Mus musculus: one gene and its partners. The protein of the gene in region 2 binds, or shares a complex with, the protein of the main gene of each other region. Links are inferred from orthologs where the notes say so. Each region holds a gene or a part of one and is shown on either strand. Other genes may lie near its edges.

Region 1 (4,538 bases), on a different chromosome or scaffold from region 2:
TTTCCTTTCCTTTCCTTTCCTTTCCTTTTTTTTTTTTTAGTAAATAACACAGTCTCAGGTTCGCAGTGTGATCAGAAATCCTGTGACATAGTCTCTGCAGCTCATTGATATTCTTGCCTGTTGTGTTCCCTTGATGCCTTTTAGGCTCCTGATGGCCACATTTTCTTGGAAGCCTTCTCTCCAGTTTACAAATATGCCCAAGACTTCCTGGTGGCAATTGCAGAGCCGGTGTGCCGGCCTACTCATGTACATGAATACAAGCTAACCGCCTACTCCCTCTATGCAGCGGTCAGTGTTGGGCTGCAAACCAGTGACATTACTGAGTACCTCAGAAAGCTCAGTAAGACTGGAGTTCCTGATGGAATTATCCAGTTTATTAAGGTGAGTTACTAGCAACTCTTGTGCTCAGGTGCGTACTTACTATATGTTGTCATTGAAATGTCTGATTTGTGTTTCCTTTGATAGCAAAATAGCTTCGTGCCTAGCTGCTGCCACTTTAGATCCAGCCATGGTTCTGGCTGAGATCATGTGTTTTGTGGGCTGCTCCAAGCCATGGGAGTAGAAGTTCAGGTCCACTATGGCCAGGGTTACTTGAGAATCCAGCTCTGGATAGATGGAACTATAGCCTGCATGTACATATCAGAATCCTAACCCCAAATACCTGTGTGTTAGTAAGACTAAATGAGGTCATAAATGTCTCCCCATTCAGAAGGTGCTTGTCTTTATTAGGAATTATACAGTTGTCATAAGTCCCTTCTTTATGGGACTGTGTAGAGAGAAGGTGACTCTCTTCTAGCCAGGAGACCTTACCACAGCCTGAATTAGCTGGTCCTGGTCCATTGATCCTGAGTAGTTAGAACTCTGAGAACATAAGCTTTTGTTGTGGAGTTTTTTTGGTGGTTAGCTGTTACAGGAAGTGAGCTCCATGTAAGGTAAATACTTAAGATCCATGGTAAATTAAGTGTATTAGGGTAAGACAAAACTTGAAATGTTGACCTGAAGAGGGTTTCATGGGAACAGCAGTTGAATATAGGTGTATATTATTCACAGAAGATAGGAGAACAGTTTTTGTTAGTATTGGCTAATCTGAAAGGACTTCAAATTAGATTTCAGTCTGGAAGCAGAAGAGTGTGCCATGAGCAGAAGCCTGGGAGCACGACAGAGTTCTCTGTTCTGTGATGCAGAAGGATGCTGACGAAGAAAGCACCAGGGCTAGGCCTTTGGTCTACATGGTCTAAAGGACGGTAGTCGTGCTGGGGCAGTGCTGTTGTGCTCTGAGGGGCAGCTCACAATCTCAGTAGCAAGTTATGGCGAACACACAAACGACCTGCTCCCTTCCAGCAGATTGGGGACTTAAACTCTATTCCCTGTCCCTCAGAGGCTTACACTGTGCTGGCAAGGTGGCACGCGCCCCTTAGTGCCAGATGTCTAGGGAGGAGGATTGTAAGGTTAATTTCTAACTTGTCTCAAAACTTAAAAATAGAGGTGGTGGTGGTTCGGGATATAGCTTCATGGTCTTGAGTTCACTTGCCAATACAATGAAGAAAAGATGGCATTCTTTAGGTTGTGGAAATGGAGAACATTGGTGTGAAGGTCTAAACATTTGTGGTATTTGAACTTACTGTGTGTAGCAGGTCCTGCCAGCACTCACTGTGCCTGGTGACTTCTGGGGAAGCAGGATGGGCTTCCAGGTCGGGATGGGGGCTGTGGCCATGCAGGGGAAAGGAAAACGGAAAACACAGCAGAGGTTGTAAATAGTGGTTTGTAAATAAAAAGCTAGGCATATGAATTAGGCAAAGGATGGGTTTATCCCAAAACTATGGAGGTCAACGGACAAAAGCCCCCTTGAGGCAGCTGTGGCTGTGGCTGATGTTTTCCGAAAGTACACCCACCGGTCCCTTGGCCGGGTGCTGAGCCTGGTGGAGTAGCATGCTCTGAGCGCTGACGTAGCCTGTCTCTTGCTGTTCCTCTGCTTACAGCTGTGCACTGTCAGCTATGGGAAGGTCAAGCTGGTCCTCAAGCACAACAGGTGAGCACTGCCCTCTGTGTGCCAGCCGGGAGGGAGGGAGGGAGGGAGGGAGGGAGGGAGGGAGGGAAGGCTGGGAGGGCAGGAGGGAGGGGAGAGAGGGAGGGAGGAAGGGCAGAGAGGGCGGGAGGGAGGGCGGGCTCACACCGTTCCTGAGACATAGATGGGGAGTTGAGGGGACCCCGGAAGGAGAAGGAGGCCCTGCAGCGGAGTGACCGTCAAGCGTCTGGAAGTTAACATTGGCAGTGATGATGATGCACACAGGCAGTAGGGTTTCCTTTTTACATACAGATGCTTTAAAGAAGAGCGTGAATCGCAGCGACCACACTCAAGCTGAGAGCATTTCTGACCTTTGAGTTTAACTCTGCTCCTTTCCCGGGTGCAACCAGGTTTAGGAGAGTTCACAAGGAAGGGCGTTTTCACTCCTGCTGCTGACATGCTGACTTAACTTCAGGGTGCCGTTCTCCTCTGACCCTCAGCCTGTTAGAGCTTTGCCCATAGCTCCTCTCTCTGATTTGACAAAGGTGTGGGGAGAGTCATTACGAGGCTGTAATTTTCAGATCACCCAACTGAGTTACAATTGCAGAATGTTCTAGAAATGCAGTGCTGGCCAGCAGGGACTCCCTTCCTCTCCTGCTTGTAGGTACTTTGTTGAAAGTTCCCACCCTGATGTTATCCAGCATCTTCTTCAAGACCCAGTGATCCGGGAATGTCGCTTGAGGAACGCCGAGGGCGAGGCCACCGAACTCATCACAGAGACTTTTACAAGCAAATCTGCTGTGCGTGAGCTCCTGGGTTTCCTGGGGGCTGGGCACTTAGGACCTCAGTTTTCCTGGTCCCCAGCACAGCTTCAGTTCATGGTTGGTAACAAGGTGCAGAGTCTGGATTCCTACCTTTCTCTCACAGATTTCTAAGACGGCGGCGGAAGGCAGTGGCGGGCCTTCTACTTCGCAGGGGGTAGATGCACAGGCCACGTCTGACATACCCAAAGACCTGTTTGATTTTTATGAGCAAATGGACAAGGATGAGGAGGAGGAGGAAGAGACACAGACAGTGTCCTTTGAAGTTAAGCAGGTTAGTGACTGCTTCCTGGTTACCAGTCTTGCCTTGTGTCAGCACCCTCCACTGTGAGGTAAAGAAAGGGACCCCTGTATGTTTCTGTTTGGGTTCTACACAAGTATAAGCCATGGCATTCTCCTGGTGGGAGTTATGGGCTGAGAGTCCTTCCGTGGCCTAGGAAGCTGCTCTCCATAGGATCCATTTTGGTTCAGATTAAAGTTCATTTTGAGGAGACCAGGAATACGGATCTGCTGGTAGAATAACTTTCTTCGTAGCTGTAAGTCCCTGGGTTCAATCTCTAGCACCTCGTAAACTACGCACGGTAGTGTGTGTCACAGCCTGAAAGTGGGAGGGGAGGAGGGATCAGCAGTTGACGGTCATCCTCCACCAGACAGAACTTAAGGTTGGCCTGGAATAGATGGGACTTGACTCACAAAAACCAAAACAACAAGAAAAAAAATCAACTAGCCAAATAGTACATTGATTTTGACTGGGTTACTAGTTTGTGCTGCCTTTCTGTGCAAACCTAGTTGTTAGCAAGCAAGGTCTGAAATTGTATACATCCAGATAAAAGGCCAGGTTTCGATCATGCGGCCCTTTTGAATATTGTCTCGGACACTCTGGAGTTGAGATCGTCACACGTCCTTCCTGCTGGCTACTAGGAAATGATCGAGGAGCTGCAGAAGCGCTGCATCTGCTTAGAGTACCCGCTGCTGGCAGAGTATGACTTCCGGAATGACACTCTCAATCCTGACATCAACATTGACCTGAAGCCCACAGCCGTACTCAGACCCTATCAGGAGAAGAGCCTGCGGAAGATGTTTGGGAACGGACGAGCACGCTCAGGAGTCATTGTTCTTCCCTGTGGTAAGTGAGGAAGGCTCCATCTTTGTCTGCCAGCTGCCTCCTCCCTGCTCGGTGTGTTTCCCTGTGTAGCACTTTGCCTTTAAGTGGCCAAGGTCACTTCCTCATTTGGTAGTTGACTGACGCTTATTGAAGTACTTGCTTTGTGAAGCTCTTGGTCTAGGCCAGTGGCCCTCAATGTCCCTAATGCTGGGACCCTTTAATACAGTTCCTTATGTTATGGCGACTCCCACCCATAAACTTATTTCATTGCTACTTCATAACTGTAATTTTGCTATTGTTATGAATTGTAATGTAAATATGATATTCAGAATGACTTTATGTGACCCCTGTGAAAGGGTCATTCAATCTCAAAAGGGGTTGAGACCCAGAGGTTACGATCCATTGGTCTAGACCCTGTGGGTATCAGATCTCATTCAGCTTGGGTAGCGAATGACTGAAATAGCTCTGCTAAGACACTTATGAAGAGTCTTCCTGATAATGCAGGCGTCAGAGAACCGGAGCACAGTGTAGGAGGGGCAGCAGTGCTGCTGGGGAGCTGCTGGGCATAGAGCGAGACTCTTCCTCTGACCTCAGCTGCAACAAGAGT
Region 2 (4,538 bases):
CTTGAACTTAATTCTACTGCCTTAGCCTCCCAAATTCCTAGGAGTGTAGGCTTATGCCAGCGGGCCTGGCTTCAATTGGTCTTTTAAAGAAATATTTTTTACCTAAATCTTATAGATACATGTCTGCCTTGGCCCCAGTATTGGGAGTGTTGTTGCTGCTGTCCTTATCCAGATCAACACATCTTCGTCTTGTTATGTAGCCTCTACTAGTTTTGAACTTACTATGTAGATTAGGCTAGACTTGAACTCATCATGTAGCCTAGGCTGGTCTTGAACTTTTGGTTATCCTGCCTGAGCGTCCCTCATGCTGGGGTTACAGGTGTGTACCCTCCATACCCGACTTAGTTATTGATTTTTTTTTCTTCTCAGTTTATCATTTGATTTTTTTTATCAACCTGATTTTGTATGATTTCATGTTCTTGATCCTGGTATTCATACTGTCTCAGATATCACATGTTGTATATTCCTGAAAATATTAGTTTATATATGACTTAGTGAACGCATTTGAAAACTTTGCTACTAGACACGACATCAGCGGGGAGATACACATCCTCTAACGTTGGAAGAGATTCTGGATGAGACACAGCACTTAGACATCGGACTCAAGCAGAAACAGTGGCTGATGACGGAGGTAAGAGCAGTCTTTTTTTTTTTTTTTTTTTTAAGATTTATTTATTCATTATATGTAAGTACACTGTAGCTGTCTTCAGACACTCCAGAAGAGGGCGTCAGATCTCGTTACGGATGGTTGTGTGCCACCATGTGGTTGCTGGGATTTGAACTCCTGACCTTCGGAAGAGCAGTCGGGTGCTCTTACCCACTGAGCCATCTCACCAGCCCGGTAAGAGCAGTCTTAACACTAATGTAAACATTACTTCATTACAGAAAGGTGTGTCTGCTACAGAGTTCTTTTTTTGTGGTGAGTGTGGTGCTGGAGATGGAACCCAGCCCAGCATGTGCTAGAACGGTCCACTGTCAAGTCATCTTCAACTGTAGACGTGTTTTACTATTTTGGGATGGGGTGGGTGTCTGCACATGTGTGTGTGTCAGACGGGGAGAGAGGCGAGGAGAAAGGTGGGTGGGAGGCAAGGTCTCATATTGTCATCCATGTTGACTTCAGGCTCAGTGCACTCTGTGCTTTAGCTTCATGAGTCAATGTGCCTGGCTCAGAGTGGGTTTTTTTTTTAATCCTGTAATTTGTTAATATTTTTTACTTTTTCTTAAGAGACTTGATGTATAGTCTTGGTTGAATTTAAATGTACACATTTTTATAATTTGTTTGGCTGTTGGTTTCCATATAATTTTATTTATGTTTTAAAAGGTCCTCTAAGACTACAGTAGAATTGTGAAGTCTGTGTACCAATTTTTCATTGTCATAAATAGTATTTTGAATTGTCAAACTCATAATCTTATATACTCACAAGTTATATATTGCATATATGCTTTAGAAAATTTAAAGCCTAAGATGGGACAGTAAACCATTTTATTACATTATTAGCATTCTGTGGTTTGATAAATGAGTTATTTTTTCTAGTTACTTAGAGAAATAATATGATTGTTAATGTTTAAATAAATACATACCATTTGAAGAACGCCTAAAACAGTCTCTGACCATGCCAGTTTGCAAGTGAATGAATGACAGCTATTTTAGTATTTGCTTCTTTAAAGTTTATTTTATTTATTTTTTTTAAGGATTTATTTTATTATTATATGTGAGTACATTGTAGCTGTCTTCAGACACACCAGAAGAGGGCGTCAGATCTCATTACATATGGTTGTGAGCCACCATGTGGTTGCTGGGATTTGAACTTAGGACCTTCGGAAGAGCAGTCAGTGCTCTTAACTGCTGAGCCATCTCTCTAGACCTTCTTTAAAGTTTATTGGTGTTAACGAATACTACTTTTCAAGATCAGTGATGTATCTGCGGACCCAATGTGAGCTGGGATGTAGTTGTACATGTCTGTAATCCCAGCACTTGGGATATAAAAGCAGAAGGACCACGGCATCATTAATCATAGTGAGTTCAAAGCCAGTCTGGGCTACAGTAAAGCAAACAACACAAAAGGAATACCCCCTAAACAACCAGATGTAATCATTTATTTATTTATTTATTTGAGGCAGATTTTCTCTCACAAAGATCCTCCTATCTCTGTCTCTCAAATGCAGGGATTAAAGACATGTGCTGGAGTAGAGAGATGACTCAGAGCACTGGCTGCTTTTTCCAGAGGTCCTGAGTTCAATTCCCAGCAACCATATGGTGGTTCACAACCATCTGTAATAGGATCTGATGCCCTCTTCTGGTGAACATGAAGATAGCATACTCATATATATATGAAATATGTATATATATGAACTCATTTACAAAAATACATAAATCCTTAAAAAAAATAGATGTGTGCCACCATGACTGGCCTAATTCAATTAATTTATTTTATCAAGTCAGATGTACTTCTTGATTTTCATACTGTGAAGTGATTTGACTTAGTCCAAGTCACAGAAGGTCATGTCTGCTGTCACTTACTCACCAGTGACTAGAAGCAGAACCTGCCTAAGACTGTTGTTTTTGTTTTATTCTTTTTATGTGGGTGTGATTTTTTTGTTTGTTTGTTTATTGATTGATTGATTGATTGAAACAGGGTCTCACTGTGTAGCTCTGACTGCCCTAGAACTCACTGTGTAGACCAGGCTGGCCTAGAACTCACTGTGTAGACCAGGCTGGCCTCAGACTCACTGAGATCCATTTGCTTCCCAGGTTCTGGGGTCAAAGTTTTATGCCACTACTTCTAGCTGAAATCTTACTCTGTAATATAGGCTGGCTCACACTTGGCAGTAGTCTCCTGCCTCAGCTTCCTAACTGCTGAGATTATAGGATTTGAACTTAGGACCTCTGGAAGAGCAGTCAGTGCTCTTACCTGCTGAGCCGTCTCTCCAGCCTTACTTTGTCTTCTAAAAGAGTAAATGTTCTTCAAAGTAGCTATGATAAAACGAGTTTCTCTCTAAAGAATGTATGCAAATAATGTATGAAATTTTCATTTGCTTTTAAGTAAGAAGCAAACTTTATGCTGACTCACTTGGTCTGGGATCCTAGATATCTGGTGTTTTAGGTCTGCTAGTTTATGTTCATATGATTCTTCAGGATGCCACTGTGTTGGGTGATGCTAGAATTTAAGAACATACACATGGGGTTTGCTTTTTATAAATATATCCAAATTGTGTTATTTTTACAGGCTTTAGTCAACAATCCTAAAATTGAAGTAGTGGATGGGAAATATGCCTTCAAACCTAAGTACAACTTGAAAGATAAGAAGGCCCTGCTTAGGCTTTTAGACAATCATGACCAGCGGGGACTAGGAGGAATTCTCTTAGAAGACATAGAAGAGGGACTGCCTAATTCCCAGAAAGCTGTCAAGGTAATGTTTCTTTTCCTCCTGTATCATAACTATAATTTGAATTAGTAATGTTGTGGTTTTTTATTTTCCTGAGACAGGGTCTTACTATGTATGTAGCCCTGGTTGTCCTGGAACTGAGAGATCTGTGTGCCTTTACCCCTGAAAGTGGGGGTTACCATGAAAGGTGGCTACCATGCCCAGCTTCTTATGCTTTTTTTTTTGGTTTTTTTTGTTTTTCGAGACAGGCTTTCTCTGTGCAGCCCTGGCTGTCCTGGAACTCACTCTGTAGACCAGGCTGTCCTGGAACTCAGAATATCCGCCTGCCTCTGCCTCCCGAGTGCTGAGATTAAAGGCATGTGCCACCATGCCCGGCGCTTCTTATGATTTTAAGATACACTTGTTTTTATGCGTGTATCTTTGGGTAGCTGCCCATGTCAAGGAAAGGAGAGGGTGTTGGATCCCCTGGAGCTAAAGCTCACACTGCCTGCTGGGAACTGAACTTGGGTCCTTTGGAAGAGTAGCAAGGGCTTTTAACTTGAGTCATCTTTCTAGTCTGCTCTTCATGGTTTTAAACTTGAGAGAGAGAGAGAGAGAGAGAGAGAGAGAGAGAGAGAGAGAGAGAGAGAGAAAGAAGAGGAGGGGAGAGGAGGGGAGGGGGAGGGGAGAAGAGAAGAGGAAGGAAAGAAAAAAGGGAGAAAGAAAGGGGAGGGAAGAAAGTGGAGTTATTTTTAAAGTCTTTATTCTGTATACATGGGGCTTTAGTGGTCCAGTTAAAATTTGAATTTTGTGGAGCTGGAAGGATAAATGGCTTAGCAGTTGGGTTTGTTCCCAGCACCCACATGGTGACTCACAGCACTGTCTAACTCCACTTCACAGGGATATGACTCCCTTTTCTGACCTCTGAGTGCACTAGGCCCACACATGGTGCACATACCTGCATTTAGACAAAGCACTTACACACAAACTAAAAAACACTTTGTTCGGTGCCACAGAGCAGGAAAGAAAATAATCACCTTTGTGTAATGTTAACAGGTTTTTCGGGGGGAAGGGGGAGGCATGTGTTTTGTTTTGTTTTTATGTTGCATAATGATTTAGTTCTTCAGATTTCTAGAAAGTTTTTCACAAAGGCATTAGTGTTTCTCTTGTTAT
Region 3 (3,581 bases), on a different chromosome or scaffold from region 2:
TGATCCGAGACAGGACTTCCTGAGATCCAGCCTGCTAGCATCCCTTAATGTTAATCCCTCACACGACTCTTGAGCTGTCTCCTTTCAAGCATTTTTTTCTACTATTTCCCCTTACTTTCCCTCCAGAAAGGAGGTGGAGGATGGGGGAGAGGAATGTTTGGTAGGGTCAGGTAGAAGTTCAACCTTGTATGTATGCATGTATGTATGTATGTATGTATGTATGTATGTATGTATGGCTGCCCTGGCAGGCTGACTTATGTATGTATGTATGTATGTATATATGTATGTATGTATGTATGAATGTTTGGCTGCCCTGGCAGGCTGACTTCAAACTCCACAGGCTGGGATTTAAGATGAGAAGACACAGAGGTCCTGATTTCTAGCACTGAGACAGGAGCACAGTCACTCGCTCCTTCCATATCACCTCGGTAACAGAATACGTGTCACTCAGTATTGGATCAGAGGTTTGGATTAGGTATCTACCTTATGAGGAGTCTTTAGTGTTTAGGTCTTCCAATCTGACCTATCTTAATTTGAAGGTGACAATATGAACTCTTTAAGGCCACTTCAAATACATTCTCCAAGACAGCCTCCTTTCCCTTAAGATGAAGTATGTCTACCACAAGGCTAAGGACCCTAGACGGTGCTCCCCATGGTGAGTTTCCATCCTGTGTCCAGGGCAGGCAGAGTGGTGGCAAAGTTCTTTTAGTCAACTGTCTCTCACTCTTTAAACATTGCAGGGTGGCTGGGGACTGGCTCAGTGAATAAGGGTATGTGCTATGCATGAAGACCTGAGTCTGTCCATTAGCACTACCGTTAGTGAAAAGACTGCTGTGTTCCCACTGTACATGCCTTGAACCCCAAGGTACAAGCAAAAAGAGAAAGTGAAGACAGGATTGTTGGGGCTTTTGGTCATCCAGCCTAGATATAGGTTCAGTGAGACAGAGCCCATTTCAAAGGACAGAAATATGGGTATACACCCAATGTCCTCTGCTAGTCTCCTTACATAGATGCACACACTTGCACATACATATGTACAACACACAAACAAACAAAAGCAACTTCTGGGCTAGAGTGTTGCTCAATGGTACAGCACTTTTCTAGTATGTACAAGACTTTGGACAGAACTGACTCCTGCCCCCCACACATGTGCCATGGATCATGTACCCTCTCCCCATTAACAAATAAATACAATTCTTTTAAAAAAAAACAGTGTTCTGGTTTATTTCTCCCCTTTACAACCAAGTGAAAACACTCCTCTCCTATGCAAGTTTTTTATATATCATTTTAGCTTCAAAAACTACAAAATAATTGACATTAAAATCTGAAGTGTCAAGAACAAAAAAATAGTAACATGGGGTCCAAAAAAACCACGGTACGAAGTAGTCAACGAATGTTTGAACATCATTCTACCTCAGCAGTTCAGGATGGCAGCCTGCCTGACCACAGCAGCCTTAAAAGGCTGCAAGGAGCGCAGATGGTAGTTATGGTCTAACAGTCACTGTGAAGATAGCACCTACAGCATCAATAGCCAGCCTTTCTTTCCTCTCCAGAAGCCAAGCTGAAAGTGTTGGCTCACACCTGTAATCCCAGCACCTGCGAGGCTGAGGCAGGAGGACTGTTATGACTTTGAGAACTGGAGAGACACTCTCTCGCAGTGAAGCAAAAACTACGAAAGAAGCTCCAGCGTCTTCTGAAGCAATGTTCCTGCATGAGGCCTCCCCAGGCTTCAGACCGTGGTGCTGTAACTCAAGGAGCAGAGTGACGTCTGCGGATCAGTACTGGAAGCTGCGCTTCGTCTGGATGTCATCGAGAATCTGCTGCAGCTCCTCATCTTCAAAACGCCCTTCCAGGCTGTAAGAAAACCAAGAAATGTAAGTGACTTGGCCGCTGGAGGTTTCCCCAGTCTGTCAAAGGAGGCTCATCTCCGAGCAGCTCGCTTAGCTCTACTGCCTCGAAGTTTAAACTGAATGGTTTTTGACATTCCTTTATATAAGCACTAAAAAGTTGTAAATAGAAAAAAGATTTTTAAAAGCTTCAACAGTCACACATGATGTAAATTTAATTTTGTTTTGTTTTGTTTTTTTCGAGACAGGGTTTCTCTGTGTAGCCTGGCTGGCTGTCCTGGAACTCACTCTGTAGACCAGGCTGGCCTCAAACTCAGAAATCCGCCTGCCTCTGCCTCCCGAGTGCTGGGATTAAAGGCGTGCGCCACCACTGCCCAGCAACTCAAACTATTCTTAAGCCAGCATGACCATTTACACCTGTAATCCCAGCCCTTGACAGGTGAAAGCAAGACAATCAAGATGTTCAAGGAAAGCCTTGGTTACCTGAGACTACCACCAACAAACCACAAAACCAATCCCCAAATCCTATCTCAAACACCATTCAACTACATTCCTATTCAATGCTGCCATGTCATTAACCCAAATATTAAATGCATACAACTTTTAGTTCTAGCAATTTGACTTATAGAAATCTATAGAAAATAGACAGAAATCTATCCCATCCGGTACTAACCTTGGAATCAGAGCTTTGGACTCTTCAGCAGTCTCCGGGCAAAGATTGGCTAAACAGGCCAACTCAAACTTATGTAACTTTTTCTGGAGAAGCAAGCTGATTGTAGCGGAAAATAAAAACACAGAAAGACTGTGATGAAGTGAGCAGTAATGGGGGGAAATAAGTATGATCAAAATATATACTTGAATAAAAATGTCACAGTGGGACCCATTACTATGTGTAGTTATATGCTAATAAAAAACAAAAATTAGGCCGGGCGTGGTATTGCACGCCTTTAATCCCAGCACTTGGGAGGCAGAGGCAGGTGGATTTCTCAGTTTGAGGCCAGCCTGGTCTACAAAGTGAGTTCCAGGACGGCCAGGGCTACGCAGAGAAACCCTGTCTCAAAAAACAAAAAAAATTATGTTCTCATTCAGTGTCGGTCAAATGCTAATCATTCATCAATAGCAAAAAGGAGATTGTAATATTTGATTATGGTTATGTGGGCATCAGAATCCTCCTTTGAAGTCACTTCCTGTTCCTACCCCAGAAAATCAACAAGTTCCAGAAAAAAACAAAAAACAAAACAAAAACAAAAACAAAAAAACAAATGAAAAACAGCAGGCAGAGCCAAGAACCCTGAAAAGAGCCCAGCAGGGTAAGGCGGCATATACACGCTGCATTGGAGAGGGAACTCGGGAGTTAAGTGATGCTCTTTTTAGAGGTCACAGGTTGAGTTCACAGTACCCACACGATGGCTCACAACAGTTTGAAATTCCAGATCCAAAGGACTCACTCTGGACTCCGTGATACTGGGCACTTGTGTGGTACAGAGGTAAAACACTCGTACACATAAAATAAAAATTGAATAATTTAATAAAGCTTACTAGAATAAGTTTGGTTTCAAAATGTATGTAGTAAAAACTTATATACTCTAGAGGACTGGCGAGATGGCTCAGCAGGAAAAGCATCTGCTAATGTTCAGAGGACCCAAGTGAGGTTCCTAGCATCTACACTGGGTGGCTCCACACGTCTACAACTCCTCTCTGGCCTCTGCTAGTGCTGGCATTGAATATACATGG

The links.
Region 1: Gtf2e2 (region 2) and Ercc3 share a complex: the UniProt entries of both Homo sapiens proteins name them as parts of the TBP-based Pol II pre-initiation complex. The link is inferred for Mus musculus from reciprocal best matches to the Homo sapiens genes GTF2E2 and ERCC3.
Region 3: Gtf2e2 (region 2) and Polr2d share a complex: the UniProt entries of both Homo sapiens proteins name them as parts of the TBP-based Pol II pre-initiation complex. The link is inferred for Mus musculus from reciprocal best matches to the Homo sapiens genes GTF2E2 and POLR2D.

What each region holds. Positions count from the first base shown.
Region 1 is NC_000084.6:32,242,820-32,247,357, forward strand, and holds part of Ercc3 (general transcription and DNA repair factor IIH helicase subunit XPB), read left to right. Parts: intron 1-144; coding exon 145-381; intron 382-1,979; coding exon 1,980-2,029; intron 2,030-2,669; coding exon 2,670-2,805; intron 2,806-2,932; coding exon 2,933-3,100; intron 3,101-3,747; coding exon 3,748-3,952; intron 3,953-4,538. UniProt on the Homo sapiens protein: ATP-dependent 3'-5' DNA helicase/translocase. Binds dsDNA rather than ssDNA, unzipping it in a translocase rather than classical helicase activity. Component of the general transcription and DNA repair factor IIH (TFIIH) core complex.
Region 2 is NC_000074.6:33,755,329-33,759,866, forward strand, and holds part of Gtf2e2 (general transcription factor IIE subunit 2), read left to right. Parts: intron 1-523; coding exon 524-631; intron 632-3,227; coding exon 3,228-3,410; intron 3,411-4,538. UniProt on the Homo sapiens protein: Recruits TFIIH to the initiation complex and stimulates the RNA polymerase II C-terminal domain kinase and DNA-dependent ATPase activities of TFIIH. Both TFIIH and TFIIE are required for promoter clearance by RNA polymerase.
Region 3 is NC_000084.6:31,794,323-31,797,903, reverse strand, and holds the end of Polr2d (DNA-directed RNA polymerase II subunit RPB4), read right to left. Parts: intron 2,617-3,581; coding exon 2,521-2,616; intron 1,855-2,520; coding exon 1,776-1,854; 3' UTR 1,195-1,775; downstream 1-1,194. UniProt on the Homo sapiens protein: Core component of RNA polymerase II (Pol II), a DNA-dependent RNA polymerase which synthesizes mRNA precursors and many functional non-coding RNAs using the four ribonucleoside triphosphates as substrates.